4 linked regions of the Canis lupus familiaris genome follow. The protein of the gene in region 4 interacts with the protein of the main gene of each other region in a biochemical or structural test. Links are inferred from orthologs where the notes say so. Each region holds a gene or a part of one and is shown on either strand. Other genes may lie near its edges.

Evidence for each region.
Region 1: the proteins of DNM2 (region 4) and SNX9 form a complex in vitro, tested with the Homo sapiens proteins (2 studies listed by BioGRID and IntAct, with this or other methods). The link is inferred for Canis lupus familiaris from reciprocal best matches to the Homo sapiens genes DNM2 and SNX9.
Region 2: the proteins of DNM2 (region 4) and SH3GL2 interact in a biophysical measurement, tested with the Homo sapiens proteins (2 studies listed by BioGRID and IntAct, with this or other methods). The link is inferred for Canis lupus familiaris from reciprocal best matches to the Homo sapiens genes DNM2 and SH3GL2.
Region 3: the proteins of DNM2 (region 4) and ITSN1 form a complex in vitro, tested with the Homo sapiens proteins (2 studies listed by BioGRID and IntAct, with this or other methods). The link is inferred for Canis lupus familiaris from reciprocal best matches to the Homo sapiens genes DNM2 and ITSN1.

The regions. Positions count from the first base shown.
Region 1 is NC_049222.1:47,866,299-47,874,723, forward strand, and holds the start of SNX9 (sorting nexin-9), read left to right. Parts: upstream 1-3,038; 5' UTR 3,039-3,167; coding exon 3,168-3,170; intron 3,171-8,425. UniProt on the Homo sapiens protein: Involved in endocytosis and intracellular vesicle trafficking, both during interphase and at the end of mitosis. Required for efficient progress through mitosis and cytokinesis. Required for normal formation of the cleavage furrow at the end of mitosis.
Region 2 is NC_049232.1:37,821,221-37,828,893, forward strand, and holds the end of SH3GL2 (endophilin-A1), read left to right. Parts: intron 1-1; coding exon 2-160; intron 161-1,881; coding exon 1,882-1,985; intron 1,986-3,560; coding exon 3,561-3,691; intron 3,692-5,734; coding exon 5,735-5,934; 3' UTR 5,935-7,389; downstream 7,390-7,673. UniProt on the Homo sapiens protein: Implicated in synaptic vesicle endocytosis. May recruit other proteins to membranes with high curvature. Required for BDNF-dependent dendrite outgrowth.
Region 3 is NC_049252.1:28,828,125-28,836,351, forward strand, and holds the start of ITSN1 (intersectin-1), read left to right. Parts: upstream 1-3,323; 5' UTR 3,324-3,556; intron 3,557-8,227. UniProt on the Homo sapiens protein: Adapter protein that provides a link between the endocytic membrane traffic and the actin assembly machinery. Acts as a guanine nucleotide exchange factor (GEF) for CDC42, and thereby stimulates actin nucleation mediated by WASL and the ARP2/3 complex.
Region 4 is NC_049241.1:50,829,692-50,837,364, reverse strand, and holds part of DNM2 (dynamin-2), read left to right. Parts: intron 1-2,810; coding exon 2,811-2,971; intron 2,972-6,516; coding exon 6,517-6,659; intron 6,660-7,673. UniProt on the Homo sapiens protein: Catalyzes the hydrolysis of GTP and utilizes this energy to mediate vesicle scission at plasma membrane during endocytosis and filament remodeling at many actin structures during organization of the actin cytoskeleton.

The sequences.
Region 1 (8,425 bases), on a different chromosome or scaffold from region 4:
TATTTTGCTGTGTACAGAATCCTAGGTTGATGGTCTTTGTTACTTTTTAGCACTTGGATGTTGACTCCTGTTGTTTCTGGTCTTCAGTTGCTGTTTCTTTGTATGTCATGTATCTCTTTTTTTCCCCCTGTGGTTTGCTTTCAGGACTTTTCTCTATGGCTGGTGTTCAGCGACTTGATTATGACGTCTCTTTGTGTATTTGTTTTGTGTGTGTGTGGTTTTTTAGTGTGTGTATGTGGGGTGTTATTCTAAGGGTTCTTGAATTGGTGGGTTTCATCAGGTTGGAAAATTCTTGCCATGACTACTTCAGAAATTTCTGTACTACCTCCCTGCCCCTCTGGGATTCCAACACACCTGTGTTAGACAAAGGCCCTGCCCCTGTGTCAGCCTCTTTTCTTTCTGTTGCTGTTTCTTTAGGTTCACTGATCCTTTCTCCTGAAGTGTCTGATTTTCCATTGAGCCCATCTGGTAAACTTTTTAATTTCAGAAATTGCATTTTACAGCTCTGGTCATTCCATTGGAATCTTTTTTTTATATAACATCCATTTTTCTCATCATCATCATATGTTCCTTTAAGTCCTTGAACATATTTATAGTAGCTGTTCTAAAGTGTCTGCCAATTTTATTATGTCTGTCATTTCCTGGTGGTTTGTAGTGATGGATGTTTTTGTCCTGGGTCACATTTTTCTCTTTCTTGGCTTGTCTATTAATTTTTTTTTTATTAATTTTTTTATTGGATAGTGGACATTGTGTTGGCATGTTGCTGAGTGTCTGGATTTTGTGTTCTCCCTTTAAAGGTTGTTAAGGTGTCTTTGGTGGGCACTTAAATTACTTGTGAATCAGTCCAGTTTTTTCAAGACTTATTCTAAGTTTTGAGGGGGCAAGAGGAGTGTCCACAGTAATCTTATCCTAGGGTGCTTTTAGCCCAACCCCAGCCCTGTTGGGGTTGCTACCATGAATGCTTTGGATGTATTCAGTGAAGCTTCTCCACTCTGGCTTGTCACAACTCCAGCCCTGCCTGACCTCAGCATTTTCTGAGCTCCCCTGTAATTGTTGTCTGCTTTGTCTTAAAGAGTTTTACCCTATTGTGTGCATCTTAGTATCCATCAGCAGGCTCAAGGAGACCTTGGTGCAGATTTCTGGAGCTTTTTCTTTGGGTAGCTGCTTTCTGAGAGTCTGTCCTCTGTTGCTGAGCCTCCTGGAGTTCTAGGCTCACTGTCTCTTCACCTTAGCAGGACCTGTGCTTTCTGCGTGGGGCTCTCTGCTTGGATTCTTCTCTTAGTGGTTGGTTCTGAAGGTGCCTCCAGGCAGAAGGTTGGGGCCATCCTGGGGTTCACTTCATCTGCTTCCCTTCTCTTGGAGTTCACTGTCCTGTTCTGCCCTTTTGCTCAAGATCTGGAAACGGTTGTTTCACGTGTTTTGTCCAGTATTTTTTTTTTTATTTTTTATTTTTGCTGTATGTGGTAAGAGGGAAAATCTAGTACCAGTTCCTCCACTGTGGCCTTCTACTATGATTCTGATCTTGTTATTTTAACTACTGAAATTTGGTGTGTGACTTAATGTACTAGTCTTTATCTTCTCTGTTTTATTTGGTCTGTACTATAGCCTCTTTAATTCCACTTTTAATAGTTTAATCCTTCCAAGGCCCTCAGTGGATTCAGGTTATACCAAGACAATGATACTGGAGTTCTAGGGCACACATTCATTTTTGTCATCCTGCACATACTTGGTGTTTCACAGTTTATCTGCAAGGTCGCCAGATAACAGTGGACTGCATGATGGCTCAGATCCTCTTTCCTATACCTTTCCCCAGTGCACAAATGAGCTCTGGGAATCTTTGTATTTAAGAAATACAGATTTAGGGGAAATTTCAGTTCACGTGAGGAACTTAAGGCACTGAATGTAATACAATATTTTGACAGATTCCTTTGTGATGACTATTTCTCTTAACTTTCATGAGATCATGTATTTTCCCCCCCCAAGTGGGAGTGTTGGAGTTCTCAGTACAAAGTAATCAGTGTAGTAAAGACTAAGTAGTACTTGCCCACCATGATTATTAGCACTAACTGAAAGGGGCTAATGGCTGAAACAAGAATTTATCTTACAGGACAGTTTAATCTGAACAAAGTTTTCACTGTCATGGGGAAAATAAATATTTCAAGGTACTTTGTGCCATTTTAGAAACTATGCTGAGTTTGTATTAAAGAGCTAGATGAAATGTTGAAAGATTTTAACACGGTCCTTTTTTGTTTGTGGCTTTGAAGTGCTAAAAATAAGGTATTGTCATTCTGTATTTCTGAAGTCATAGTATGTTTCAGGTGCCCTTTTTTCAGTGGTTGCAATATGTTTGGGATGAGTTTATTTGTACTTTCTCCCAAAATATCCCCTTGAGATTTTGGGTGAAACTGCAGTATATAGACTGACATCTTTATGGTTATCCCTTTGTTCTCAGGAATGTGATATGATTTATTGATGTGCCTTTCTTCACTAAGGTTCATCATGCCCATGGTTATCTCTTGGGCTTTGTGGTTTGGTTTTGTTGCTATTGGGAATGTCCTCCCAATTGTATTTTTTTTTATCAAGTTATTATTTACAGATCAACTTTTGATTTTTGCCAGTTTATCTTAGACTTGGTTTTCTTATTGAATTTTCATTATCCTATTATTTTTACAAAAGATTGGGGTTGAGGGACTCCCTGCAGATTATCCTCCACTCTGCTGTCATTTCCCACCTGCACACAATACTACATATACACAGGGGTGGGGGGCAGGGGATCGTAGACTCTGCTGGGAGGTGGGGCTGGTTCTCAGGAGACCTGGTGAAATAACAGATTACAGAAACACCTTCTGAGGGAATAAGTAACCCAGTACTCAGTTTTTTGTCTTGAACCCCAAGGCTAGTTCAGACCTCTTGGTAGGCTGGAAAGAGGACAGTTATGCTACAACTTTTAGCCCAACACGGAATGTATATATAATGTTCAAGTGACCCAGAGGTCGTGATAACTGACATTTACTGGGCCCTTTGTGCCAGTCACTGTTCTAAGCATTTCGCATTAATGACTTCATTTATCACTTGTGTCACAAGGCACATGCTGTTATCCTTATCTTATTCTGGAGGAATTTGAGACAGTCTTGAAGGAATTTGGCCAAGTTTAGAAAGCTGTTGAAATGGTAAAGTAGAGAGTTGACCCTGCGTGGTCTGGCTCCAAAGTCAGCTCATCGTCACCATGTTGACAACGATTACATTTCCTTTCCCTTGTGTGTGTGTGTGTGTGTGTGTGTGTGTGTGTGTGTGTGTTGGGGAGGTGGGGGTGAAAACCATTATCAACACCCAGTGCTGGGTTGGCAGGGGGGCAGGGGTGGTGGTGGCAGGCAGACCTTGTTAATAGAGTATGTAAGTTTTCAACCGTTGTCTTTAGAATTTGGGGTACTGTTTGCTTTTCAACTTTCTGCCCCCTTTTAGTTACATGTGTCCTTTTATAATCAGGAAAAAACAATAAAAGTATTTTAATTTAGGGTGGGGGTAAAGTTACCTTCCTAACCACAGCTAAGTTGTCTTGGGCTTTGCCTTAGAAGTTGCAAAGTGGGTTAGTAACCTTGCAGCTGTGTTAGAGAACAAGGTAGATGTGCAGATAGCAACAATCCTAAGATTAAATAAAACATGAAGCGTAGAAGAGCATAGGTACCGTGGTGTTTCTAATTGGTTCTGTGTGTGCAAACATGTGTGGCAAATGCATGATGTTTGAAGGCTACTTTCAACTCTGTTAGAGTTTTGTGCCCTTTGCAAGGGGGCGGGGGGGGGGGGAGAGAACATTTTTAAACTTTTCCTTCTCTAAACATAATTGTGTTGCTTTTGTTGTTGTAAAATGTATTACATATATATTTTTGTGCAATGAAAGTGACAGTACTCAGAATGAGAGCTCCAGAAAGATGTAGCCTTTAGTACAGATTCTGTTGGCCTCCCAGTCCTCTTGCACTTTGGAGCATTTTGTGTTTTGTTACAACCAAGGAAGCATTCCCCAATAGATTGTGGTATTTTCAACAGGTTCTGAGCTTCCTGGGTGGAGGTACAAAACCATGATTTCAATTTTTAATTTTGTTGACCAGGGGTACATTTATATTAGTTAAAACAACAACACTAAAATGGTGCAAAGGGGATGATTCTGGAAATTCTTCTCTTATCTGTCCCCTCCCCCAGCCAGCTGGCTTCTCTCCTTGGGGCTATGTTACTGGTTTTTTTTACTGTCCTTACAGAGATATTCTATGTACATACAAGCAGAGGCATTTCCCCCCTTTTCTGCACAAAAGGTATACTTTGCTTTATTTTCTTAACGCATTCATTAGAGATAATTGCACTTCTGAAAAATGAGCAAACCCTCATTCTTTTTTGCTGGAGCATGGTGCTCTGCTTCCTGCGGACACTCTATTTTGTACCAGTCCCTACAAAACAGTGCTGCAGTGAATACCCTTTGATGCGCGTCACTTTGCAAACATGTGAGTATTTCTAGGGGATGAATTCCTAGAAGTGGAATTTCTGAGTAAGAGAGGATGTGTGTGTAATTCTGACAGACATTACCAGAATTGCCTCTCACTTCATCTGCACTATAGGAATAACCTATTTCCCTGAACCTACGTCTTCATCAACATGATGTTATGAGTTTCATTTTTGTTTCCTTGCTATGCTGATAGGTGAAAAAATATTTGTTTAGTTTTAGAAGTTATGTTTTACAATTTTTAGAACCATCTTTTTTTTTCCCCCTTTAACTGATTTGTAGTTAACTCTGTAGAGTAGGGGAACTAACCTTTAGTCTGTGATATGAATTGCAAGTGTTTTTTTTACTCATTTGTCATTTATTTTTATCTTATTTATATTGGCTTTTGCCAGGCAAAGCAGGTATGTTTTATTTGGGTGAAGAGAAATTTCACTCTCCCTCCCTTTTAAGAATATTAAGATTCTGTTTCACATTTGAAGTCCTCTTCTACTGCAGGATTATTTTTTTTAATTTTCCTAAGATTTCCTTTGGTACCTTTTATAGTTTCCCAAAAAGCCTTTTCTCTTATGGGGAATGTCAAACATTTCCAAAACAATAGTATAACGAAGCCTAAATGCCCATTACCCAGCTTCAACAACCGTTGACTCATTTGGTCCAGACCCCATCCCATTCCTCTGCTCTTGCATTATTTCTGAAGAAATGCAATTCTTCATCAGTAAATATTTTTGTGTATGTTTCTAAATATGGGTAGTCCTTTAAAAATATAACCACAGGGGTGCCTGGGTGGCATAGTCAGTTGAGCCTCAGACTCTTGGTTTCAGGTGGGGTGGTGATCTCAGGGTCGTGAGATTGAGTCCTGCATCTGGCTCCTGCTGAGAGAGGAGTCTGCTCAGGTTTCTTTCCTTCTGTCCACTGCCCCCCTCCCCAACCCTGTGCCTGTGTGCTTGCGCTAGCTCTCTCTCTCTCTCATCAGTAAACCTTAAAGAGATGATTTATTAAAAATAAATAAATAAAATTATAACCTCAATACCATTTTGATACCTAAAAATTGAATACTTTTAAGTATCACATAACTCTTAAATATTCAGATTTTCAGTTTTCATATTATAACCTTTTTTGCATTCTGTTGGACTCAGAATCTAAATAAAGTCGACGTATATTGCAGTTGGGATCAATTTCCTAAATCTCCTAGTTTATGGGTTCTCCTATTCTACTCCCTCCCCCAACAGGCTTGTTTCTGTCTTTGAGATTTGTTAGAGAAAATGGATTCTATAATTTACTAGATCTGGGCTTTTCTTTTCTTTTCTTTTCTTTCTTTTTTTTTCTTTCTTTTCTTTCTTTCTTTCTTTTTCTTTCTTTCTTTTCCTTCTTTTCCTTTTCCTTCTTTTCCTTTTTCTTCTTTTTCTTCCTTTTCTCCTTTTCTTTTCTTTTCTTTTCTTTCTTTTCTTTTCTTTTCTTTTCTTTTCTTTCTTTTCTTCTCATGAGATAGACATAGAGAGTGGAAGAGACTTAGGCAGAGGGAGAAGCAGGCTCCTCACAGGGAGCCTGATGCAGGACTCGATCCCAAGACCCCAGGATCATGACCTGAGCTGAAGGCAGACTCAACTGCTGAGCCACCCAGGTGTCCCACATCTGGGTTTTCTTATCACATACTCATTGCATAATTTAATATATTCCTTTATCTTTCCTATAAATTGGTATGAGGATCTAAAGTGGCCATAAGATGCAATCTCTTTTATCTTTTCAAGTATTTTTCGTAATTGGCATTGCATTCCGTCAGAAGGCAAATGGTTTCTGGCTTTTGGAGGTACTATGCTTAGATGCATTAAATTATTAGGGATTGAAAATGATGTTCTAGTTCTATTATTCCTTTTTCATCTATTTCATTTATAAACTGTCTTCAAGGTTCATCCACATTTATGCATGTTGCAGATTTTCTTTTTTTTAAAGCTGAATAATACTCTATCATATATGTATGTATATACCACATTTTCCTTACCCATTCATCTGTCAAAGGACATTTAGGTTGTTTCCATACCTTGTCTATTATGAATAATGCTACAGTAAGTATGGGACTGCCAGTATCTCTTGAGATCCAGATTTCAGTTCTTTTGGATTAATACTCAGAATTATTGGGTCATATGGTAGTTCTATTTTTTAAATATTTTAAGAAAACCCATATTGATCTCCATAGTGATTGCACCATTTTGTATTACCTAGAATATTTTTATAAACAGACACTTATCTATTACTTGATTAGTTAGTGCTACAATTTGTAAAGGAGGGGCAGGATAAATGCCTGCTTTGTTTTACCTATATTTACTGGTTTTCAAAATGCATTGGTTCCCTAGTATCCTATAATAGTGACCAATTATTTTTATCATTTTTAACTCACAGATTTAAATAAATTTGATGTTTCAGGCTACTGTAATCCTTGTCCTTATTGACGCTTATATTGTCCCTTCTTTGGACAGCAAGGTCCTCTGCAAGTTGGAGCCTGTGTCTTTTTGATAGGGTCATAGCAGGTTTTGTTAGTGTCTTAATATCTGAAGGAAAAGATTCCCTGGCCCATCTTTGTATACTGTGTGTGGGTTTTGTTCTTGTGTGTTTGTTGTTTTTTTTTCTTTGAAACCTGAAATCAGCCTTTTTTTAGTAAATCTGATGCCATTTGATGAAAAATGCGATTTGACGATTGTAATCTGGGTACTAGCTCTGTGATCCCTCCCTCCCTTACCCCTTCCTTTCCTTCCTTCCTTCTTCCTTCCCTCCCTCTCTACCTTCCTGCTTTCCTTCTTTTCATGTAAATCTTTGTTCCAATCTGGAATTTATATTGGTGTAAGGCATGAGGTGGTGATTCACTTTGTTTTTTTTTCCCCTAGAGATCTGCTCGTTTATTGTAAAACAATATAATGCCGGTCATACTACTTTGTTGCATCCTGCTACCGTATGTGTCTTTGGGACTCGTTGTGAACTTTCTACTTATTCTAGTCTCTGCTTGTCTTTCTGTGAAAAAAACTTTTTTTTTTTTCTGCTATTCTTGTGTATTTATATGGCCAAAACAAATTTTAGGATCAGTTTGTTCTGTTTCAGGAAAAAAAAAAAAAAACTGTTCAGATTTTTATTAAAACCGGTAAACAGGGATCCCTGGGTGGCGCAGCGGTTTGGCGCCTGCCTTTGGCCCAGGGCACGATCCTGGAGACCCGGGATTGAATCCCACGTCAGGCTCCCGGTGCATGGAGTCTGCTTCTCCCTCTGCCTGTGTGTCTGCCCCCCCCCCCTCTGTGTGTGACTATCATAAATAAATAAAAATTAAAAAAAAAAAAAAAACGGTAAACAGAGATGCTATCTTAATGATCCTGGGGCTTCCCATCTAAAAACATGGGAAGGTTCTTTGTATAAATTAAGTTTCTGTTGCATAAGAAAGTACCCCCAAACTCAGTAACTTAAAACAACAAAGAATTTTTCTTTAGTTCCGTGGGTAGGCTGTGGGTGGTTCCTGTGATCTGGAAAGCCCAGCTGAGGCTGGATAAGCTTTGAGTGGCCTGCCCACAATGCTGGACTCTCACAGTGTACAGCTTGGCTGGCTGGGGTGCAATGGCCTCGTCTGCAGAGGCCAACCCTGGCTGGCTCAGTGGGCACAGAGGCGAGCCTGGTAACAAGACAGAGCAAGGCTCGATGTGCAAGTGCCTTTCATGCCTTTCCTTCTGTCACATTTGATGTTACTGTGTTGGCCAAGACGAGTGCATGAACAAGACCAGAACCAAGAGGTAGTAGGAAAGTAGCCTTCACTTCTTATTGGGAAGAGTGGCAAAGTCACATTGCAAAGGTGATATCCATATAGAGAGAGGAGGATTTCTTGTGGCCACTTTGGCAAATAATCTGCCACACTCTGTAGCTTTTCCAATTTTCAGTGTCTTTCAGGAACACTGTAAA
Region 2 (7,673 bases), on a different chromosome or scaffold from region 4:
GCATCATCTAAAGAAATTGGAGGGTCGACGCCTGGACTTTGATTATAAGAAGAAACGACAAGGCAAGATTCCAGATGAAGAGCTCCGTCAGGCTCTGGAGAAATTTGATGAATCTAAAGAAATTGCTGAGTCAAGCATGTTCAATCTCTTGGAGATGGATGTGAGTGACTTCTGTGGTTTCAAATTTAATCTTGCCATTTGAGGCTCAAGATTATATTAAAGGATTATGTAATTTAAAATGTTTATATCTTATTGTGAGAACTTTGGTAGATAGCTATTTCTTTAAAATAAAATTAAATTCTAAAGTAGATCAAGAAGTGGTATGTTTTTTTCCCCTGTGTTTCCATGGTTTGATTTAATTAAATATTTCTCTACTAATGATCTTAAAGAATTACCAATAGTCAGAAGATGAAGAATGTTTCTGGTGATCCATATAAAAGTTCAGTTGCTTAAAGTACTTTGTCAAAATATAGGTCAGACTGATTTCAGATTATAAAAAAATATCACCTAAAATACATTTAGAATTGAGGGTTCAGTGTAGGTTAAGGTGTTCTATATTTTGAAGTAAAGGTGATACTTTCTTTCAAAAACTAATTTCAACTGAGATTGATAATTATAGCATAAGTACTGTATTGGGCATAGATAATGTAGTTTAAAAGCTGCTTGTATATTTCCAGTACATTATTATTAATAATAATTTTAGGGAAGACAGAGGGGCAGAGGGAGAAAGAAAGAGAAAGAGAAACTTAAGCAGGCTCCATGCCCAGTGTGGAGTCCAGCATGAGGCTCGATCTCATGACCCCGAGTTTATGACCTGAGCCAAAATCAAGAGTCTGATGCTTAACTGACTGAGCCACCCAGGCACCCCCTCTAGTGTGCTAAATTATCATTTGTGGCTTTAGAAGTTATATTCTTTTGAGTTATTTCAGCATCATAGTCATGAGAACTTCTGACCACTCATGTAATAAAGTCTGCTAACTGGTTTTGAAGTTCTTGCTCAGTCACACCTCTGGCCCTATCAGTTGATGACCACCTTCTTCCAAGGTGTTTACAGAGCCTTTATGTGCTTATCACTTAACTGCTTTGCACTGACAGGGAAGATCTGTTGGATGTATCTGGACTTTCCCACCACCTAGAGACTATAGGTTTGTGTTTAGGTAGAACAACTGGTATCCCACCTACCTACTGAAGAGGAATGCTATAGGCACCAGAGATGACCTGAATCACAGTGCTCCTTGCCTACAAATAGGGCCCCATTCCACCCCCAAAACTCATGGGACAGCATTGCCTTTGCCGACGTGGAGGACAATATTCAGTGAGATAACAACCTAAGACACAAAATGAAGAGTAACTAAGGATACCTAGAAGACTAGAACTGAAATGAACCCAGTATGTCACTTGACCGAACCCCTTTACATTACAGATGAGGCTGAGTGGGGACAAAAGATTTTCCATGCTATCAAACTGCCTCCATGCTGCCTGAAGTGAAAAATCAATATTCACTTCTTTATTAACAACACTAATATATTGACAGCATGGAAAGCATAGGGAGCAAAGACTCCTTTGGTCAGTATCCCTTTTTTCCTATAAGAAATCAATAAAATTAGCCAAATCCTACCTGGAAATTTGTAGCCAAGAATGAGATTGTTCAGTGAGAGGTGTGTGATCTTTAGAAGGATTCCTGATAATGTGGCTTCTCCTCATGGTACTGGCATTTTCAAGCATATGGATGCTTTTTATCCTTAACTGGTGTGGAATCTACAAAATCAAGCTCTGAGCTGTGCATCAGGGGAAGCTCTGTCATATGTGTTGGGGCAGTAGTAGTTGCCTAAGGATGGTGACCTGGTAACTAAGGTGTGATTCCCCCCTATTGGCCTGCAGATCGAACAGGTGAGCCAACTGTCTGCGCTTGTCCAAGCCCAGCTGGAGTACCACAAGCAGGCCGTCCAGATCCTGCAGCAAGTCACCGTCAGACTGGAAGAAAGGTATTTCAGTTCCTGTATTTTATATTCCTATTTTCTTCCTCTGGAATTATGGGTAAAGAAACAGAAATAACAGCAAATTTGAAGAAAAACTTCTGCCAAAATTCCTGCTGACCCTACATTGGCACCTTGTGGATTGTTTGTTTTGATGTTATTGTGTCTTGTGCTTTGTTTTACATTGTTCCATGGAATTTATTCTTGTGTTTATGAGAGTTCAGTACTTGGATTGTGTGTTGGCTGCCACAGATTGGGAAACTAGGATGCTACCAAGGATAATGCATGTGATTTACTGAGCAGATATTCTCTGTAGGCACTGAAGGCTTACCATCATCAGTCATCTAACAGTCCTATAAACTAAGTATGATTAGCCTTACCTACAGGTGGAAAGGCCCAGCGAGATAAAGTAACTAGCCTCAGGTCACACAGTGGTACAACTGGGGTTTGCCAGGCAAGCATAGCCTATTTGAAAGCCAGTTATCTTTTCACACCATTTCCCTGAATGGTGAGCAGGTCCTCCAGCATCAGAGAGACAGCTTTCCTATGCCTGTTCCTCCTCCTCAGAAGCACCCTGCAGCCGGGCATAGATGTGTTCCTTGTGATTAGGCCTCCCCATAGTTGCAGGCCACTGCCTGACACCTGTAGGCAGAGGCCCTACACTGTAGTACATGTCACTTTGTGCATCTTTGGTCGATGCACCCTTGTGGGAATGTGTGTCCCACTCTGAAGCTTCTAGAAAGATTTAAACCATGCACTTCAACATACTAAAGAGATATTATTATTTGCCTTTATGACATCTGTTGAGCAAAAAAGGCCATTTTCTCTTTTTCCTCTGAAACATGTTAAAAGTCCGTATCATTCTGTAATCACCATATTTTAACCTCTCCCCATCCTTGCAAATCTGCTGGACACTCTACTTCATGAACATGAGACTGTGAATGGTAGTTGGAGTGCGTGGAGTACATTAGTTGGCCATACCTTTCCACTTTCCTCCTATCTTCCCTCATTTCTTTCCCACTTCTTGCATCTTAAACTGCTCACTGTTCTCAGGACACATGATATTTCCTCCTTCCAGACCTTCTCAAGCTCTTAAACTCTTTCTTCTGGAAAGAACTGTTCATCTGGAAATGACTCTAAGCTGTCTTTTCTCCCTCTCCATAGGCCTTTCTGTGGGCAGGTAGACTCCTCCCCACTCCCCATCTCCATCCCCATGTCCCCGTAGCATTCTGTGTGTCTCCATAACAACACTCACCACGGTTTATGGTTTACGATCCTCAGTTTACCTTCTGTCTCCCTTCCAACTATAAGCTGCTTGAGGGCAAGAATGGTGTCGTATGCGTCTTCATGTTCAAGAGTGCACATTTGCAAAGTGAGCTCTGAATAAATAAGGAAGAGGTGAGGGATGGAGACAGGATGAAGAGGGCAAGGATCTGACCACAGAGGGACATCACAGAAATGTAGAGACATACACAGAGAAGGTGGCTTTGCATTAGGAGCTTTCCTGGATGTTAATTGCTTTTCTGTTTGCTTCTTAATTGGCTCCATGCTCCTATTCCCCCCTTCCTTGTCTTTTTAACACAGAATAAGACAAGCTTCATCTCAACCTAGAAGGGAATATCAGCCTAAACCGCGAATGAGCCTGGAGTTTACAACTGGAGACAGTACTCAGCCCAATGGGGGCCTCTCCCACACGGGCACACCCAAACCTGCAGGTAAGTTGCTGAGACCTGCAGACCCCATTACACAGGCTGTGGGCACATGCCGTCGATACTTTTCCAGAAATTCTAGGTGCAGCCTGGCTGGCTGCACAAGAAACTATACAGTGATACATTTCTTACAGGATGGTTTTGTCATGTAGAAGCTCTTTTAAAGCACTCCATCCTTATTTTCCCATTGATCATTTCTTTGCCTCCTTTTCCCCCTTCTCTCCTCTAGAAATGTCCCTTTTTCTCTCACCATTATCAGCACCCATTAACCTTCTAAGTAACACAATTGATTTTGACCTCTCTTTGTGGTTTTAATTTACCATAGGTGTCAGGGGTGTCATCTTTCTTTTCTGTTTCCCCTGTGTTCCAGCCTGCTTGAGGGTGAATGCCCTGGCAGGGTGTGCCCACATGCACTCACATATAACCCATAGACAGCAACTCCAGGAACATATCAAACTGGATTTCTTAAGTCACTGGAGCCTATGGGTGACTGTACGTATAGACAATATATTTTGAATATCAACATCAGCTAGCTTTCCCTCCTTCCTCCACCTTCAACCAGTTCACTGTACCCTGGCAACTGAGGTTGGTATAGTAAAAGCTAAAATTTATTTTCTATCAATATCAATAATATTGATGTATACCCAATAATATGTTTTTTTAGTTGACACCATTGCTCTCTACCCCGTATAATACAGATTAAGGAAAAGCTTGTGCTTGAGACATTTTCAACCTTAACAATTTGTTTGGTTGAAGAAGTGGAAACTGTCTTACACTGGGCATGGACTTCAAAGAAATAAGAGTGTCTCCTATTTTCCCTGTGACCCACTGCTTGATGTTTGTAGTAGGAAATGTTTTATGAAATGCTCTCTGGAGACCAGGAAATAAAATCGTGAGCTCTGTGGTGGTAGTTGGCACTCTCCACCCTTTGTGTTCACCTAACTAGTTGCTTGAAGCTGCCCAGGGTAGGGTATAATCAGCAGTGGCTCTTACAAGTTAGCTGGCTCCGAGGACTAATCATGTAAATTGGGATTAGTTTGCTTCTCCCTATTCAGAAACCAACCACATATTTTACTCTTCTTTTGGAGACTTGGTCATTTTCTGCTTTCTTAAAGTAAAAAAAGAAAATAGATTTTAATTTAAAGTCATCAGACATGGGGGCAATATGTACTTGTCTGAGTTTACATGCCCATGTGGATGCATGCTTTATTAAATATAGATGGTCATTTAAAATAGATCACTTTTAAGATACAATTCCATTCCTCATTATCTTACTGAAGGCAGAGCGTGTTATTTTTGTGTGCCAGAACTCCCATGTACTCATCCTTATATATGCAACAGTTTACAAAGAGTAAGTTATATAATTTTTACGTAATTTCACTTGATAGCCACAATAGTATTACGGCGTAGATCCTATTAGTTATAATGCTAGGCAAAGAAACTTGAAAGGGAAGTACCTTGTATAAAGTCACCCAGAGTATGAACTCGAACCCAGTGTCTTATATTGTTTTGTTTTCACCACATTACAGCAGTTTTCCAGAGGCTGGAGTCTTTACTTTTGAAAAATGAGGACGCACAGTTATTCTGAGGTTGCTAATAAGCATTGTCCATGTAATGAACCTGACTCTTTCACATGTACAGAGATTTTAAAATGCTAACATTGAAAGCATTCTGACCATGTTCTAGTAACCTAAATTCCATCAAAATTCCTTAAGTCACTGGGTCTCCCATCTCTGGACATTGTCAGGAAGGCAAACCTTGGTGGACTGTGTTGCATGTGTCACCAGCATAGATGAGGCCGTTATTCATACTGGAAATGGAAGCACATATCCAGCCACTTCCAGGAATCTGAGAAAACTTCCAAAGACTCGTGAAGAGCAGATGCTATGCAGTGGACTGGGGACTAGCCTCAAGAGGAAACTTCAGCAGGAAGAGGAGTGAGGGAGGAAGCAAGGAGGATGGCGGGCTGGAAAGGTTAAGCAGGTGGTAGACTTGTGAGTTAAATGCCCCTTGTCTTTCTGTATTCTTCTCTCCTGCTTTCACTTCCAGGTGCCCCAATGGATCAGCCCTGCTGCCGAGCTCTGTACGACTTTGAACCTGAAAATGAAGGGGAGTTGGGTTTTAAAGAGGGTGATATCATCACACTCACTAACCAAATTGATGAGAACTGGTATGAGGGAATGCTTCATGGCCAGTCAGGCTTCTTCCCCATCAACTATGTGGAGATTCTGGTTGCCCTGCCCCATTAGGATGTTAGGCTGGCAGGCTTACCTCCTCTTGACCCAGATAGTTAAGTTTAACCACTGCTTTGGTAATGCTGCTTACAACACATCCCAAATGCAGGCCGCAGTGGTCCAAGTCATCAAGCCCCACCGAGTTATCTTTGGTTGACTTGTGTGATCCCACAAGAGTCATGGTGATGGGTGGTATCTTCTTAGGCTGGCGGGCATGGCATGTGCTTTTTAAACACCATCTGAGGCCAGCCAGTAGTCACTGAACTGTTTACACGGTTCTCAGGAGACTGTGGCTTCTTAGAATATGACCATGAGCCACATCACAGTAAAACCATGCTACTGAAGATATTATCTATCACCCAGGGGCCATCTCAAGGTCTCAGGTTCTCCATTTCAATAGGAGAAAGGTCCTGCTTTCCCATAGTCCCCTCCCAAATATGCAAGTCACAGAATTTTGGAAGAAAGCCTCCCTCACCAGCAACTTGTCTTCTGGTCTGAGTTGGTCCCTTGATACTATCGGTAGGAAAATGTTGAATGTGAATTGAAAATCTTTTCTGGAAAAAAGTCACCTTTCTTCCTCCCACTTATGCCTTTTCCTAAGGGACAGCCAGTTTTCTTCCCTCCCTGCTAATAAAGCCAGAGGGGGACTTCCGCTATATTTCTAAGTAAGACAGTTAGCAGTCAGCATATGGTAGGAGGGGCTGAAGAGAAGAGATTCTCCATTATGAGGAAATGGGAAAACATCTGGTTTCCAAGCTTGCATTTCCTGCTGCAGAGAATTCACATATGTAGTTAGGATATTTCTGAAGGTACAGGGAAGTGGGAACAAATACCTTCACTTCAGATTTATTTATGAATTACATGCTTCATGAGTCCATTTGGCACAGAGACACAAGGATAAAAACACAAGAAACCATTTTTCCACTAGTTCATAGACCAAGTTAACAGTAACTGTCTTTCCTTTCCACTTCCACCTTGTGTTCTTCGAACATCATTTATGCAGATTCTGCCCTCAATGAGGACCAAATAAAGATAATTTTTGTGCTTAGCAGTTTAAGATGTATGGCTGCATATGCAGAAGTTTTTCCCAACTCAGTCATTATTACTTTTCTTTCTGTCCTTTTATTCCATCTTCATGTTGTATGTACAGTGCTATGTGTAAGCTTATGAGTGGTTTTCTATTTTGGGGGTTGTCTTTCTTTTTCTTTTCTTTTTCTTTTTCTTTTCTTTTTCTTTTTCTTCTTTTTCTTTTTCTTTCTTTTTTTTGTATCAGTTCTGAAGTCTCATTAGGTATGCAGAGTTCTATTTATCTAGCTGTACAGATTCCTTCCGAGGTTTCATGTGCTGCTTCGGACGTGCCACCTGCGGTAGTGGGTCATGTGGAGTGAAAGGCAAATCTTACCGCTTAATGTATAAACCTCTTACCACAGGAAGCATCGCCGTTTCCAATAAATATTGCTGAAGACAGAACCAAAGGCTCTGGACCTTTATTTTGCGTCAGTTTTTTGGTGATCTCATTTCAGTCTCTGTTGCCTTCTGATGCAGCCAAACCAGACCTCGTTCCTACCTCAGATGTCCCTCTTTGTCACCAAGGGAAGTTTTGTTAGCAAGAAGGCAACTAGCCTGGACACCAGTAACTCCTTGGTAATCCTAGGAAGAGGGTGATTTGGGAGACAGGATAAAAGAGGTGGGAATGGAAGTCTTCTAGAAGTTACATGAGATATAATCAGTGGCGATATCAAAAGGATATAATG
Region 3 (8,227 bases), on a different chromosome or scaffold from region 4:
GTAAAGTTCACAGGACCATTATTTTTAATAATAATAATAATAATAATAATAATAATAATAATAATGTAATCAGTCCCTCATTGGGCTCTGTGCTTTAAGAAGCACGGAGTGTGCTTGTCCCTCTCCCTCAGTCCTTCCTCACCTACTCATTCTTTCAAATAAATAAAATATTTTAAAACTATTTAAAAAATGTTTATTCTCCCAATTCATGAGCATAGAATGCTTTTCCACAAACAAAGCTAAAAAACACTGTGACTCCATGGCGAAATATTTTAACAACTTCCAAGCTTTCTCATCCTTTTTCTTCACAGAGGTACACCAATGAATCAAGACACATTACTGCTCAGCATATAGTACAGGGAAAGTGATCTTTTATTATTTATAATACAGCATGGAGATGGCTCAGTTGGTAGAGCATATGACTTTTTTTTTTTTTTAAGACTTCATTTATTTACTTTAGAGCTAGCTAGGGAGAGAGCCCAAGCAGGGGGTGAAGCAAGTGGAGTGGGACAAGCAGACTCTGTACTGAGCACAGAGGCCCAAGCGGGTCTCAATCCCACTTCTCCAAGACCACCACCTCAGCCAAAATCAAAAGTCAGATGCTCAAACAACTGAGCCATCAAGGTGCTCCTAGAGCATGTGGCTCTTGATTGTTGGGTCCTGAATTCAAGCCCCATGTTGGCCTAGAGCTTACTTAAAAAACAAAGAAAAAAAAATATGGCATGGAGTGTTTGTAAAACTACCAAAATATGTCACCCCAAGTGGTAGGTAAATTAACCTTGTATGGGGGAACCCTCTCTGTTTCAACTCTGAACATTTCATCTGCTATAAACTAGAGCAGAGACATCAATGAAGTGAAATTATTGATCAAAAAACAATAATCATACACTGTTGTGGTTGACAGGATTTAGAAGTCAAAACTGACCTGAGTTTGAATTCTGGTTCTTCTATTTACTGGCCAAATGGCTTTAGGCTATTCAATTTTAATTGTCCAGGCCTTAGGTTTCACCTCTACAAAGCATGGTAGTTACCTCCAACGGTTGTTTGACTTATTTTTTACTTTTTTAAGATTTTATTTATTTATTCATGAGAGACACAGAGAGAGAGGCAGAGACACTGGCAGAGGGAGAAGCAGGCTCCATGCAGGGACTCCAACGTGGGACTCAATCCTGGGTTTCCAGGATCACACCCTGGGCTGAAGGCGGCGCTAAACCGCTGAGCCACCCGGGCTGCCCCCAACAGTTGTTTTAAAGATTAAACAACACAAGCAAAGCATTCAGTACAACACCTGGCACAAAATAAGCATTCAATACGTGCTGGCTATTTTCACTATTATTTCTGCAATTTGGGCAGAGAACCTCTCTAAAATAGTTCCCAGGCCCATCTCACAGAGCAGCAAAGGGTTTGGTGACATGCAACTCTTTGAGCTTTAACACCTTTTAATTTCTGCAGGGGGCACCTCTATCATCTGGACCTGCCGGGTCCAATAACAGCGGCCACTAGTCCACAGGTGGCTAAAGAACATGTGAATTGTGTCTAGTCAGAACTGAGATGTGGTGTCAAGGTAAAACACACGTTAGATTTCAAAGATGATTAAAAAAAAAAAAAAAAAAAAAAGAATTGCCACGCCTGGCTGGCTCCATCCATAGAGCAGGTGCATCTAAATCCTGGAGTTGCTGAGCTCAAGCTCCACGTCGGGGTACAGCTTATTCTTTTTTAATTAATAAACAGACGAATGTATAATATCTCAATTTAAAAATATTTGATTATGGGTAGAAATGATAAATTTTGGATATATTGGGTTAAACGAAACATTGTGAAAATTAGCTTCACGTGCTTCTTTTCACTTTTTTTTTTAATGTGGCTACCAGAAAATTTAAAATTAAGTGCCTCGCTTTGTATTGAGCAGAGCTGAGTTGAACACCCCGCTACTCAGACCTTGGACGAGCAGCCTGGGGAGCTGGTGGGAAATGCAGAGTCTCAGGCCCCGCCCGGACCTGCAGAATCAGCATCTGCGCTCGTACATGATTCTGAGGCGATTCTCACGCGTTGCTCCAGTTTTCCGCTGTTCATCTTAAGAGGGCATATCTGGCCGCATAATCACGTAAATGCAAATACCTTTGCTTCACTGAATAAGCAAAGTGAAGCAGGAAAAAAAGCGGTGGCAGAGGAGTATGAGAGAATGAAACACTAACTTAAATTATAGGAATAAAAAGAAAGCAGGGGTGGGTGTGCAAAAAATATCCAACCTGGGAGATTCAGGGGAAGGGAACTTCCCGACTCTGGCTTCTATAAATGTAAAGAGAGATGCAAATGGAGATAAAACCCACAATCAAAACCTGTAAGGACCAGGAAATGGTCAAGTCTTTCCCGCCCCTCGGCGGCCTCAGCTAAGCTAGGCCTGGGCCCAAGAGGGTCTGGGGTTGGGGTGCAACGCGACCCACCACTCACCCCAGGGCTGCACGGTTCCGCGAGGCGTCCAAAGTCCAAGGCCCCGCTTCCAAAGACACAGAATCCAGGTCCGGGGACTCACCTGCCTCCGAGGCGCCCCAACGGCCTGCGTCTTCGCCACCGCCACCTTGGAGTCCTACTGCAGAGGGCCCGCCCCCGCTGGCCCAGGCGCTGCTCCCATTGGTCAGGCCTCTCGTCACTTCTGGACCGGAGGCTGTGGAGAACGCCATAGCAACCGAACGCAGAACTACATCTCCCAGAATGCCCCGCCCGGACGAGACGCCCCGGGGCTACCAATAAAAGGGCGAAGTTGTAGTCTCACGGATGGGTTCCGTTTTATGCAAATTTCTATTAAAGACCACACCCTTCCTCATTCCAACCGTTTGCCCTACCGCCTTCCTTGGGCAGTGACCCGCCTCTTTTTCCGCCTCCACGTTGCTCTCTCCCTTAAAACCTTTTGTAATTGACTTAGGTGGATACAGCTTAATAAGTGCCTCGCAGGACAACGGACGGATGCACCCAAACCGGTGCAGCTCCAGAAGGCGGGTCAGGGAAATCCCAGTCCAGAAGGTTACGCCTTCTGGGAAGGGGGCGGGGAGAAGTGACAAGCGCCCGCCCACCAACCCCCTTTGCGCGCTCGCTGATTGGTTCACGTGGCTGTCACTCCGTGCTCTTCCATTTTTTTTTTAGTTGCCCCCGCCTCGTTCCCGCGGTGGGCGGGGGCAGCGGCAGGGGGCGGTGAGGAGGCGCGAGCGCCTTCTTGCGATTGGCGAGTGCCGGCTCCCACCCATCCGTGGGCGGAGATGGTGGCCGGGACGGGGGCGGGAGAGGCGGCGGAGGGAGATGAGGAGATAGGTGGGAGCGAGGGAGCGAGGGAGGGAGCGAAGGAGGTAGAGAGGAGCGGAGGAGAGGGGAGGGAGCGCAGCTTGGTTGCTCCGTAGTACGGCGGCTCGCGAGGGAGAATCCCGAGCGGGCTCCGGGGCGCACGGGCGCACGGGCGGGCGGGGATGGTGTGCGGGGCTGCGGCTCCTGCGTCCCTCCCCGCGGCGAGTGAGCTGCACTGATTTGTCCCTGGGGCGGCAGCGCGGACCCGCCCGGAGATGAGGTGAGGAGCAGGCTGGACCGGGCGGCGGGGGCGGCGGCGGCGGGGGCGGGGGCGGGGGCGGGGGTCGGCGCGATGGCCGCCCGGGGCGCGCGTCCCTCGGGCCGCCCTGCAGCCTTCGCCCGGGAGGCGCGGCACCCGCCGCCCCTGCGCGTCGTCCTTCCCATCCTCCCGGGGGCGGCGGCGGGGCGGCCGGTGGGGCGGCCGGTGGCCGGCGCGGGGAGGCCGGGACGCCGCGGCGGGCCGAGCGGGTGGCGGCGGCTGCACGGGCTGCGGGCTGAACGCGCGTCCGCAGCCCCGGCCGGCCGAGCGGGGCGCCTCCGTCCGCGGGGGCGAGGGGGCGTCCGGGCCGAGCCTCCCGGGGACCCGGCGCCCGCGGGCCTCGAGCCCCCGGCTCATCCCCTCGTCTCCGTCGCGCGCCGGTGAAGGGCAGTCAATGCCGCTCGGCCCCGAGGCGCCCCGCCGGGGGTCCCCCTCCGCCGCGAGCGCGCGTCCCCGGGGTCCGCCGCTCCTCCCGGCCGCCGCCTCGCGGTGCGGACCCCGCGGGGCCACCGCTGCGGTCCCTGCTCGCCCCAACGACGACCTGGGACCGGGATCCGCAGGAAAAGGAACCCGGCCCATGGGGTGCACCTTCCTTGACTTCTCCGTCTGCCTCGGGATTAGAAAACAACTTCGCAGATAACATTCCCGACGGGCATCTTTTGTTGTGATTTCGGACTGGAGACGGGCTTTGCTTTTGAAGAAATAAATTCGCGTCTTTTCAGAATTAATTAATTAATTATTATTATTTTTTTGATTGCCCCGCTGAGTGGGAGGCGGTGGAGATTTCTGATAGCCCCTTAATATGAAAGTTTCCCTTAGAACTTTGTCATCATCACTGCTATTCTGAAGACAGCACCAGCCTGAAATTTTAAATATATGCGCACTCCGGACAGATGCCGTCTCTTTGTGCTTATCCCCGGGCATCCCGCTCTCGCCGTTTCCGTGGTCAAACGCGCAAATGATAGAAGCAAGCACAGTAAAAAAGGACAGATAATAAAAACAAATGCATCTGGGAAAAAAAAAATCTCAATTCCGTTGACGGAGAGAGGCAATGTCACTAATCCCTTTGAACGGATGAAGAACACACAGGCTCAGAGATCTCATGCATTAGGCAGTGGACAGGATCTGAGGTTAGGAACTGGGGCCAGGACCCAGCAGGCCAGCTGGTTCGCGAAGTGCCACTCTCAACCCCTAAAATGGGAGGGATGTATTTGCCTGGATACCTTTATTTTTAGCTGATGTAAGGTTGCAGAAGCTTAAATTTCTCTCTTCAAGGTTAGGATTTCTACCTGTTTATCTCTGCAAACAAAATGCTGGGTTTTTTCTTTAAAAGATTTTTTTTTTTCCCTTCTAGTTTACATGACACATTTATGTTGCACTCATGGTGTTTGTTTTATAACTAAAAATGTACGTCCTTGTAATATCCAGGGGAAATTTTTTTTTTTTTTTTTTTTTTTTTCTGTAGGAGGTTGGTAAAGAACCCAGGAACTTTTTTAGGTAATCTAAATTGGAAATGAAGGGACACTAATTTAGTGGTGGCATTAAAACTATTTAAAAAGCATTTCTGATAGAATTTTCTTTTAAATGGCGTTTCTTTATCTAAGAATGTGTTGAAGTTGCCGAGGCACATGGCACCTTCACAAAACTCTATGATTATTATTCTGCCTGAGTAGGAGAGGAAATGAACAAATTTTTGATGTACTTTGGAACCCTGTGGATTGTTCAGATACTAAGCATTGTGAAATAGGGCATAAAATGAGTAGTAGCAAGTTAGTTCCCTGAAATGTTTGTCCCTCTTAGCATTTTTTTTTTCAATTTACTAGAAATTTCCTTTTTCTTAATGCTTATCTCTTCTGTTGGTAGAACTCAAGTTCATCTTTTCAGCAAATGCCTAGTTTGAGGAAAATTCAAATATCCCATAAGATGTTAAGGGGGAGGTGCTGGTAAATTGCTCCATTCTTACTCATCTTTTTAATTTGCTAGATTTGTGAATGACACAGAATTAATTACGTGAGGGTTGGGTTTATGTTACTTGGTTCAGGTTTCACTGCCATAGCACTAGTCTCTTTGGAATGATCATTTTCTTCTGAATGGCTCCACTTACTGGTGGGTTTCTCAAAGTCTGGACCTCAGATCATTTAGATCAGCATTAAGTGAGGTTCTTGTTAAAAATACAGGTTTTTTTTTTTTTTTTTTTTTTTTGTCACCTTACTTCAGAATCCGATTCCTGGAGATGGGACCCTGGAATCCGATTTTTAAACAAGTTCTCCAGGAATTTCTCTTGGAATAGAAAAGTTGGAGAACAGCTGGCCCTGTGCTTTCCTTCTCCTAAGACCGTCCCCTGAAGTGGATAGCAGATTTTAAGTAGCAGACTAAGTTTTATACCTTAGGCTGCTAATAAAAAATGGACTACGGGGATCCCTGGGTGGCGCAGTGGTTTGGCGCCTGCCTTTGGCCCAGGGCACGATCCTGGAGACCCGGGATCGAATCCCACATCAGGCTCCCGGTGCATGGAGCCTGCTTCTCCCTCTGCCTGTGTCTCTGCCTCTCTCTCTCTCTGTGACTATCATAAATAAATAAAAATTAAAAAAAAAATTTTAAAAAATGGACTACGACTTTCAGATATATAATGCACCTAAAATATATGTTTCAGAAGAGCAGAGATTTTGGCTCATCATTCTATCTCCAGTGCCTAGAATAGTGCCTGGAGGAGCTCCATTAAATATTTATGAGTGGATAAGGTTGCAATGAGGCCACACTTTAAAACCTTTTCTTGTAAAATTAATATTATTACTTAGTCACGGATTTTATAAATTAGGAGCTACATGTACTGTGCCCAGTCATTTATGTAAGTTTGTTTGGCTCTGAAAAGGGAGAACCTTTCCCAAGAATAGAAGGCACAAGGTGATTAAGCTGAAAAGAAGGCTTCTATCAAAATATTGTTTAGAGACTAAAAACGTAAATTTAGGTCCCCATGTAGTGGTGGGTTACTATTTAACACTATCTCAAAATGCCACTGGTATGCTATGATAAACCCAACATACTGCTGTAAAAATTGGTTTACAGAAAATACAGAAAATTGGTATGTTTTCCAATTTCATTTTTCATCCTAATAAAGTATGACCTTCAGTCTTTCTTTTCAGAATCCAGTGTAGTACCCCATAAAGAACAGTTTCTGTTATATAGTTGAGGGTGCTGAATAGTTAGGAGTAAAATTTCTACAGGGTATTGGGTTTGACCACACACAATCTGTGACTTTGATCTGGCCCTTAACCTTTCAATGTCTCAGTTTTTTCAGCTGAATGGGAATAATAATAGTAGGTTAAGTTTAAGTACTTCAAATGTTTACATAAATTCTTGAGATATATTCATGTACTAAATGGTAATTATGATGATAAGGAGTTCGAGTATATAAAAATATATAAAACTCAAACTAATCCATTTAATTTTTGTACTGCTGCACTTGATGGTAGAAATCCATCTCTTGAAAAAAAGAAGTCTCTTGCTAATTTCTTGATACTAATTTTTAATTGGATAACTAACTTTTTAATTGGATATCTAATCTTTAATTGGATAACTAACCATTAAAAGTAATAAACCATCAAATATTGTGTAAATAGGTATTTTTCTAAATAAAGATAAATCTTGTCATCGCTTTTAGATTTGTTGTATATTTTAGAAGCAAATTGCTAATCAGTTCATTTCCCTTGTATTTTAAGGAATTGCGTCTTTATGGTAGAAAGAAATCGAAATAGCGAAAAGTAAAAACTTCAAAATACTTCTATATCCACTACCTCAGTACCTATTTCTTCAAACCCTCTTTTTTTGTGGGTGCATGTGGCTTTTTATATACAATTTTTGGTAACAAATATGGGCCCTGCTATACATGATTATTTTGTAACTTTGTTTGGCTTAACCTCTTATATCATGAATCTTTCCATGGCTATATCGTCAGTTGTAATAGTTTAATAACTGAATAAGATTCCATTTTATGTCTGTGATCATTTAACCTATTTTTTTTATCAGACATTAATTTTCTTTTTTCTCCCGCTGTTAAAACTCCGCAGTGACTCTTCTCCTACATGCATCTCTGTGTATACTTGGGAGATTTTTTTTTTTTCTGTAGGATAAGTTTCTAGAAGTGGATTTGCAAGATCAAAGTACAGTGCATGCAAAGTTTAAGATTTTTGATACATGTTGTCATTTAGAAAGGTTGTAGCAATATACATCCTTACAGTGGTGGTTGAGAGTTCTGTTTTCTTCCCTCCCTTTTTTTGGAATGAGTTAACCAGTGACAAACCTAGTGAATTATTATTTTTAGGAAGAAGAAAGGGATGTTAATGTGATGTGTTCAGGAGTATGATCTGGAAAGTCAGAAAATTCATGCACTGCTAATAGTGATAGCTAACATTTAGCAAGTCCTTTTGCATCATTTGATAAGCACTACCTCACTCAGTCTTCACAAAATTGTCCTTTTTTAGATGAGTATGCCTTGGAAACTGAAGTACCAGCAGTTAAGGAACTTTAAAGAGCCAGCAAGTGGCCACCCAGATGTGTAAGTCCAGAGCCCAAATGTTCAGCCACGATCCTGGACTGCCTGTTTCTTGGACATGATTTATAGGCATTAGGGTA
Region 4 (7,673 bases):
AATTAAATCTAGATGGAGGCCTGATAAGGTTCAGGTTTAGGATCAAGTTTAGGTCTCCTGATAGGAGTAGTCTAAATATTTTTATTTTCAAAAAATTAGAATAGCAAACATTTATTAAGTGTCTGTTAATGTAGCAGACACTGTTCTGCGCTCCTGATGTATGAGAGTCCATTGAACTTGATGATAATCCAACACGGTGGCTTGATTCCTAACCCTGTATTATGAATGAAGAAACTGAGGCACAGATGGGGTGAATCCCTTACTCCAGCTCACAAAACTAGGGAATGGCAGAGCTGGCTTGGAATGCCAGCTGTCCAGTGTCCTGCCACTTTGTCACCTACTTTTCCATCTCACTTAGCAGAATAGCAGTGTTTCCCCATGATAAGCAAGTGTTCTTCCAGGTGACTTCCAGAGGTCCTACGGGATCCTTTATATGAGACGTGTGGGCTGTTACTCAATCCCTACTTAAGTTGGACACTTAGGTTATTGCTGTTTTTCACTATGGCATGGTGTTAAGTGTCTATATGGGCTTTTACTTATTTTTTTAATCTTCTTTAAGCCATTTTTCAATTGCTTCCCTTTCCTGCCCATTCCTTCCCTTAGGGGATCTGCTGTCAGCTCTAGGTACCTCCTGGCACGTTGGTGTTGCCAGTGCCATTTAGATCTATTGCCCCGAGGGATCTCCTCCTCCACGTATGGGATAGGCATAGGGAGAACATTCAGACCTTGGTTTCCACCTTTCCCCACCTGTAACTAGAGGTGGCCCCAGATCAGGACGGAACATGGTTGGGGGCGAAAAACCCACTTGGCTGCCAGGATCAGGGGTTGAGGAATGAATCTGTGTCATATGTTTAGGAAGGAAGCATTGGTGCTGAAGACAGAAGCATACCCCACGCGTGTCCATGCCCTCTGCCAGGCACTTGGACCCTGTGCTCTTCCCACATGTATTGGGCCTAAATCTTAGTCCCCGAGGGATGCTGTCTGGGCTCTGCATTGGTGCTGGGTGGCTGGATGACACAGGCCTCCTCAGCTTCCTTCCTCGCCTGCCACTCACCATTGTCTGCGCCTGCCCTCCTCTGCCTTCCTGTCTGTTTCCAAGAAAGTCAGCCCTTCCTCTGTACACCAGCTCCCGACTTGTGCCCTTGGGCCTCCCTCCCTCCATGTTCTCCTCTTGTCCTGTGGCTTTTGGACTCTCTCCAGCTGCATCCTTTTTCTTGACTTACAAAAGACTCAGAACTCCTAAACTTTTAGGACCCACAATCCCAGCCAGACCACGGTCTCTGCTCTCCGCTGTTGTCCTGCGTACTGTTGTATGGATGGCAGTGAGTTTTGGCCTTACCAGTGTGGGTTCACATCTGGGTTCTCGTGGAGCCGCACTCTGTGGCCTCACCTTGGTTGTTTCCCCTTATCTGCCAAATGGGCATAATGGCCAATATGGAGAGAATGAAAGGTCAGCAGTCCTGCACAAGAGTTGCAGAATAAATGGCTGGTAGGCACCACTCCCCTCCTCCCCAAGGGAACCCTTGATCGCCCCCCACTGAGAGAACTGGTAGAAATGCCTGTCTGCATCCCTTTGGGAGTTTTGCCACCTCTCCCGAATCCATCTCCGACTTGCATCATGTCAACAGCGAGGAAGAACAACTATTTATTGCCATGGGTTGGCCAGTCGGCTGAGTTCTTGGTGTCCGTGACACCTCACATACCTGGACTGCTGGGCGCCTTGCATCCACACTCAGGAACCTGCGACTCTTCTGGCTTTTTTTCTTTTTCTTTTCTTTTTTTTTTTTTTTTTTTTTCAAGTAGGCTCCATGTCCAGTATGGAGCCCAACACAGGGCTTAAACGCACAACCCTGAGAGCAAGACCTGAGCTGAGATCAAGAGCTGGACACTCAACCAACTGAGCCACCCAGGTGCCCCTGTACTGACTTTTTGAACACCATCCCCTTTCTCTTCTCTTCCAATCGTTTCATATCCAAATATGGCAGATCTTTTTTTACACTAGCATTTTTATCTTAAATATTATTTTCTAGATTAAAGAACTCAAGAGTGGTACTTACAGCCATTTGTGAAAGAGGTTGCCCAGCCCCAGATGCAGGTCCCATTTCTCATGTAGCCATAGCTACCATTTTCTTGGGTCTGATTCAGAAAATTTTTAACCCAAATATAGTCATCTCTAGAAAGCACCCATGTTGTCTTTAAGTACTTCCAGTGTCACAGTGTATGTGTAGATCCATGAACCCTGGAGGATTACTTTGGGCAGGCAGCCAACTTTGTTTCTTTGCCCACCGTGGCCATTGAGTGACTGAGCTTCCCTCTTGTTGGCTCCAAAGCATTAGCCATCATTTGCTACCTGTCCGTCGTGTGTCGTTTAGACTTGTTCTGTTCTATTCCATTCATCTCTCCGGACATACAGGCCCCAATGTATCCAACCCTTTCGAACGTAACAGCTTAAGAACAGGTTTTTAATACCTGGCAAGATGAGCTGGTCCCTCTTGCCCTTCTTTTTTGAGATGATTTTCTTGTCTCTAAAGCTCAGTTTGTGGGTTTTGTCTTCTCCAGAGCTTTCCTCTGCCCCCCCACCTCCCACTGGGTCTCACACCCCTCCTTTCTCCAAACACTTATGTTACTTTTCAGGAGCACACCGTGCATTTATATTTTCTGCCTTTCCAAGGAACGGGTTTGGCTTGTGGCCTGGTCTGTGAGTGATTCCTGGGACAGGGTCCGTGTCTGTGCCTGCCTGGGCCACAGTGGCCGTCTGTGCATTTCGGCTCACCTGGCACTGCCCCTGCCCTGACCCTCTCTCCCCGCAGGCTACATTGGCGTGGTGAACCGCAGCCAGAAGGACATCGAGGGCAAGAAGGACATCCGTGCGGCCCTGGCGGCCGAGAGGAAGTTCTTCCTCTCCCACCCAGCCTACCGGCACATGGCCGACCGCATGGGCACCCCGCACCTGCAGAAGACCCTGAATCAGGTACGGCCAGGGTTTTGTGCAGGTGCGGCCCACCACAATACTGGCCTTGGTCTAGAGCCGGCACATGTTTCAGCAAAATGGGTTCAGTCCACACTGGATTCAGGGCCTGGTGAAGGGTGGGTGTTCATAGAGTCGCTAGCAGGGCTTTTATTACATTGCCGTTATTGTTGCTATTATTTCAATTATAATTAAATACTTGGAATTATCTAATCAACGTACCCAGAAGTTTTCATGCAGTTCCTGATATCGGTGACCTGGGTGATAACTGCCTGGCCTGCACTAAAGCAGGGTGGCCAGGAGGACCGGACAGGACCTCGGTAGGAGAGCTGTGGGGCCTGACCTCTGGGGGTCCAAAGCCCAGCTCAGCCTCTGAGCCTTTGTCCCCTGTGTATCATCTGGGAACTGTCACCATCCCTGCCCCCTAGGGCTGTGGTATCCACCAAGTACCCAGTCCACCTGCCGTGTGAAGCACAGCAGGCATCCAGTGGCAGCCACTGCACTGTAAGCATTGTTTTCCTACTATTCTTTTTTTTTTTTTTTTAAGATTTTATTTATTTATCTGACAGATCACAAGCAAGGGAAGCAGCAGAGGGAGAGGGAGAAGCAGGCTTCCCTCACTGAGCAGGGAGCCTGACACAGGGCTCGATCCCAGGACCCTGGGACCACTACCTGAACCAAAGGCAGACGCTCAACCACTGAGCCACTCAGGCGCTCCTTTACAGGGAATAAATTCACAGGGTTCATAAACAACGAGCCTGCAATGAGGCGCCCCCATCTGCCCCCCTTCCACCTGCAGGGCACTGTTATTCGCCTTGTCTGCATTTTCTGTCCATAGAAGCAAAAAGGACCTTCGAGAATCACAGTTCTCCCTTTCTTACCATAAATGATGACATAGTCATGGATGCCACACACACACACACACACACACACACACACACCAGGTCAGCACCATCTCTTGGAGCACTGGGCATATAGAAAGGAACCCTTCCTCATTCTTTTCTGTGGCTGTGTAATAGTTTCTGAACACATGAGTTGCAGGCTGTCCAGCCAGTCTCTTTAATTTTTTTTTTTTTTCATTTATTTATGATAGTCACACAGAGAGAGAGAGAGGCAGAGACATAGGCAGAGGGAGAAGCAGGCTCCATGCACCGGGAGCCTGATGTGGGATTCGATCCCGGGTCTCCAGGATCGCGCCCTGGGCCAAAGGCAGGCGCTAAACCGCTGCGCCACCCAGGGATCCCAGCCAGGCTCTTTAGAGAGTGACCGAGATGGTTTCTCATCTTCCTGGTCTGTAAAGGTTGCTGTTAATGTTAATAACATCATTTTGCTCATGTGGGGATTTCTCTGGAGAGTCAAATCCCTGATGGTGGCAGTTATGTAGCCACACTGTAACAGGCAGTGTCTGTCCTTAAGGCCGGTCCTGTTTTGTCCATCTGAGTTGCAAGATGTTCCCTCTGGATACTTTATGGCAGCTTCCTGGAAGGTGGAGGGCTTCAGAGGGAGAGTGGATGTCCTTCCTTTAGGCAGTCCATGGGGGCACAGTGGCAACGGGAGAGCAGAGCTCCATCCTTGGGGAAGGCGTATTTCTAAAAAATTTTTTTTAAGATTTTATTTATTTATTCATGAGAGACACAGAGAGAGACAGAGACACATGCAGAGGGAGAAGCAGGCTCCATGCAGGGAGCCTGATGCGGGACTCGATCCCGGGACTCCAGGATCACGCCCTGGGCCAAAGGCAGGCGCTAAACCGCTGAGCCACCCAGGGATCCCTGGAAGACGTATTTCTAATGTGGGAGTACAGACTCGAAATGGGTCCCCAGATAAATTCACAATCAAGCGTTAGGTAGTGGGGGAGGGGGGCAACCAGGGAAAGCTGGTGCAGAGCAGGGAGGCAGAGAAGGCAGCTGAGGGGAGCAAAGAGGACAGTAAGTGTCCAGTGGGAGGAAGCGGTTGGCCTGGGTGGACGGAGAGGAAGGGAAGTAAAACTGCCCTGCAGGTGGCATGGGCCTCCTCTGAGGGCTGGCAAGCACGCAAGGGGCCTAGCTGGCTTTTCCACGGGCCTGGCTCTGCCTCATGGCACTTCCTAGAGCTGTGCCCACCCTCCACCCCACATAATGAGGTGCTCTAAGTGCTCTAGGATGCTGTTGGATGCTGGAGTGAAGGGCTGCAGAGCATGTAGCCTCCACGTCCCCTTAAAAGCCTGTAGCTCCCACAGAGGGGTCTGTGGGCCACCCACTGGGATGAGGTCAGATTCATATAAGAGTGTGGCGAGCTGGAGTGTGAGGCTCCCTTACACCTTTTTTCTAGCTTGATGGTTACTTTATAAATTCTCTGTTGCAGGAGAGATGGCAGCAAGTGCTCCTTTTCACTCTTAGAGTATTAGCTGCATTTATAAGCTTCTGTTTTGTTCCCTCTGTCCCTCCTTCTCTCTCTGTTATATAGTAAAAGATAAAGTCGTACAGTCCAAATATAGTGAATATTCCAATTCCTCCCATCTGGTGGTGGATCCCTTCTCTAGAGGTGGCCAGAGTCACTGCAACTGGGCTTCCTTGTAGAGATACTCAGGGCCTGGAGAGGCCACTGTATCTGTATCATGCTCCCTCACTGCCTTCCTCTCCCTCCTCCCCATTTCCTCCCTCTGCCTTCTCCCCATCCTTCTCCCTCCTCCCCATCCTCCCTCCTCCCCACCTCCCTCCTCCTAATCTTTCTCCCTGTCCCCTTCCCTTTATCTTGCCTTCCCTTTCTTCTTTCCCTGCCTTAACAGCAGTATATTTACTATTCTCTCTCACTTTTTCTCTCACCAGCTATCCTGAGACTTATTCTCTAACATTTTCTGCAGTGCTGCTTCCTTTTACAGTTTGTGAATAATGAACGAATCCACCTGACTCCACAGCTAGAGAGGAGGGGGGTGGCCACAGAGAGCGGTCCCCTTCCCATTCACCTGCTCCGTTCTGGCCTCCTCCTGCATTTGTTTCCTGTGGAGCTTCTCTCTCTCTTTGTGCAACTAAAAATAGCATTCTTACTTTCTCCCAGTCTTTCACAGAAGGGAGCAAATGCTATGTACGTTCCTTTCATTGGGGAGCTGATTCTGTCTTAGTCTATAGGGTCTGTCTCCATGTCTCTACATCTGCCTGTTGTTCCGTGGCCCATGTGGACCGTCCCCTGCTGGCCAGTCCGTCAGTGCATCGGTCCTTCGGTGGCCTCCTGGGTGTCTCGCCAGAGCACTTGTGGGAGGCTGTTTTGAGTCAGCATATGTGTCGTGTGTACCCTGTGTCACGGACGCCCTGGTTGTCCACCCTACGAAAGCACAGTGGGCCGCTCACGGCATCTTGCTGCTGTGGGCAGCACATGCCAGCTCTCCTTGCCCCACGCACTAGTGGGACTCCAGCTGGATATTTCTCTTGCTTTCTATTTGAGACTGGGGGCAGTGCTGGGCTCAGGGGGGAGCATCTCAGCATCAGCCCTTTGCAGGTGCAACAGGTTAGCAGCCCCTTTGCAGCATCTCGCCTGCTAACCTCTGCTCTCTGGCCTCTCTCCTCCTGCAGCAACTGACCAACCACATCAGGGAGTCCCTGCCAGCCTTGCGGAGCAAGCTGCAGAGCCAGCTGCTGTCCCTCGAGAAGGAGGTGGAGGAGTACAAGAACTTCCGGCCCGATGACCCCACCCGCAAAACCAAAGCCCTGTTGCAGTATGTGTTCCCCTGAAAGCCCAACCCAGCTCTCCAGAGCCTCTGCCCAGCCACAGGGTCCCAGGTCCAGGCTGGGTGGCAATCCTCATTTGTCTCTCTGTTCACTTAGCCTAACATTTGTGGAGAGCCTCCTGTGTGCCAGGTCTGTCCTGAGCGCTGGGGTCCCCACAGTGAATGGAGCAGACAGCCAGCCCTGCCGTATGTGCTTAGAAAGGGGAAGGGGGAGGGATGGGACAGAAAATAAGCAAATAAGAAAACATGTAAAAAAAAAAAAAAAAAGAAAGAAAGAAAGAAAGAAAACATGTAGTGCATTAATTTTTTAAATTTTTTATTTATTTATGATAGTCACAGAGAGAGAGAGAGAGAGAGAGGCAGAGACGCAGGCAGAGAGAGAAGCAGGCTCCATGCACCGGGAGCCCGATGTGGGATTCGATCCTGGGTCTCCAGGATCGCGCCCTGGGCCAAAGGCAGGTGCCAAACCGCTGCGCCACCCAGGGATCCCCATGTAGTGCATTAAATGGCAAAATATTAACGTGGGGAAGGGGCTAGGGTGCTGGCATGAGCCTGAGGGGTGCCATTTAAAATAGAGTGGTCAAGAAGGCTGCCCTGAGACAGTGAGTCAGGCAAAGACCTGAAGAGGTCAAGGATAGGGCCCAGCCAGTGCAAAAGCCCTGAGGCAGGACTGCCCTACAGTGTTGGAGGAGGCTCTATGACAGAATGAGTGAGGGACAGAGTGGAGGAGGGGAGGGCAGGGAGGGGACAGAACCGATCATTCAGGTGTTTGTGGGCCACAGGGAGAAATTAGGCTTTTGCTCTGAGTAAGATGGGAGCCATGGAGAGTTCTGAGCAGAGGAGGGATGGCCTGATGGAGGAATCACAGGTGCCCTTTGGTGGCTGTGGAGAGGCCAGACATGGGGAACAGGAGTGGGAGCTTAGCCCTGTGTCAGTCAGCTCTTTCTGCTCTCTCTTGGAATTCTCCCCCTGAGTTGGTGCTCACTGTCCCAATTCAGAGCT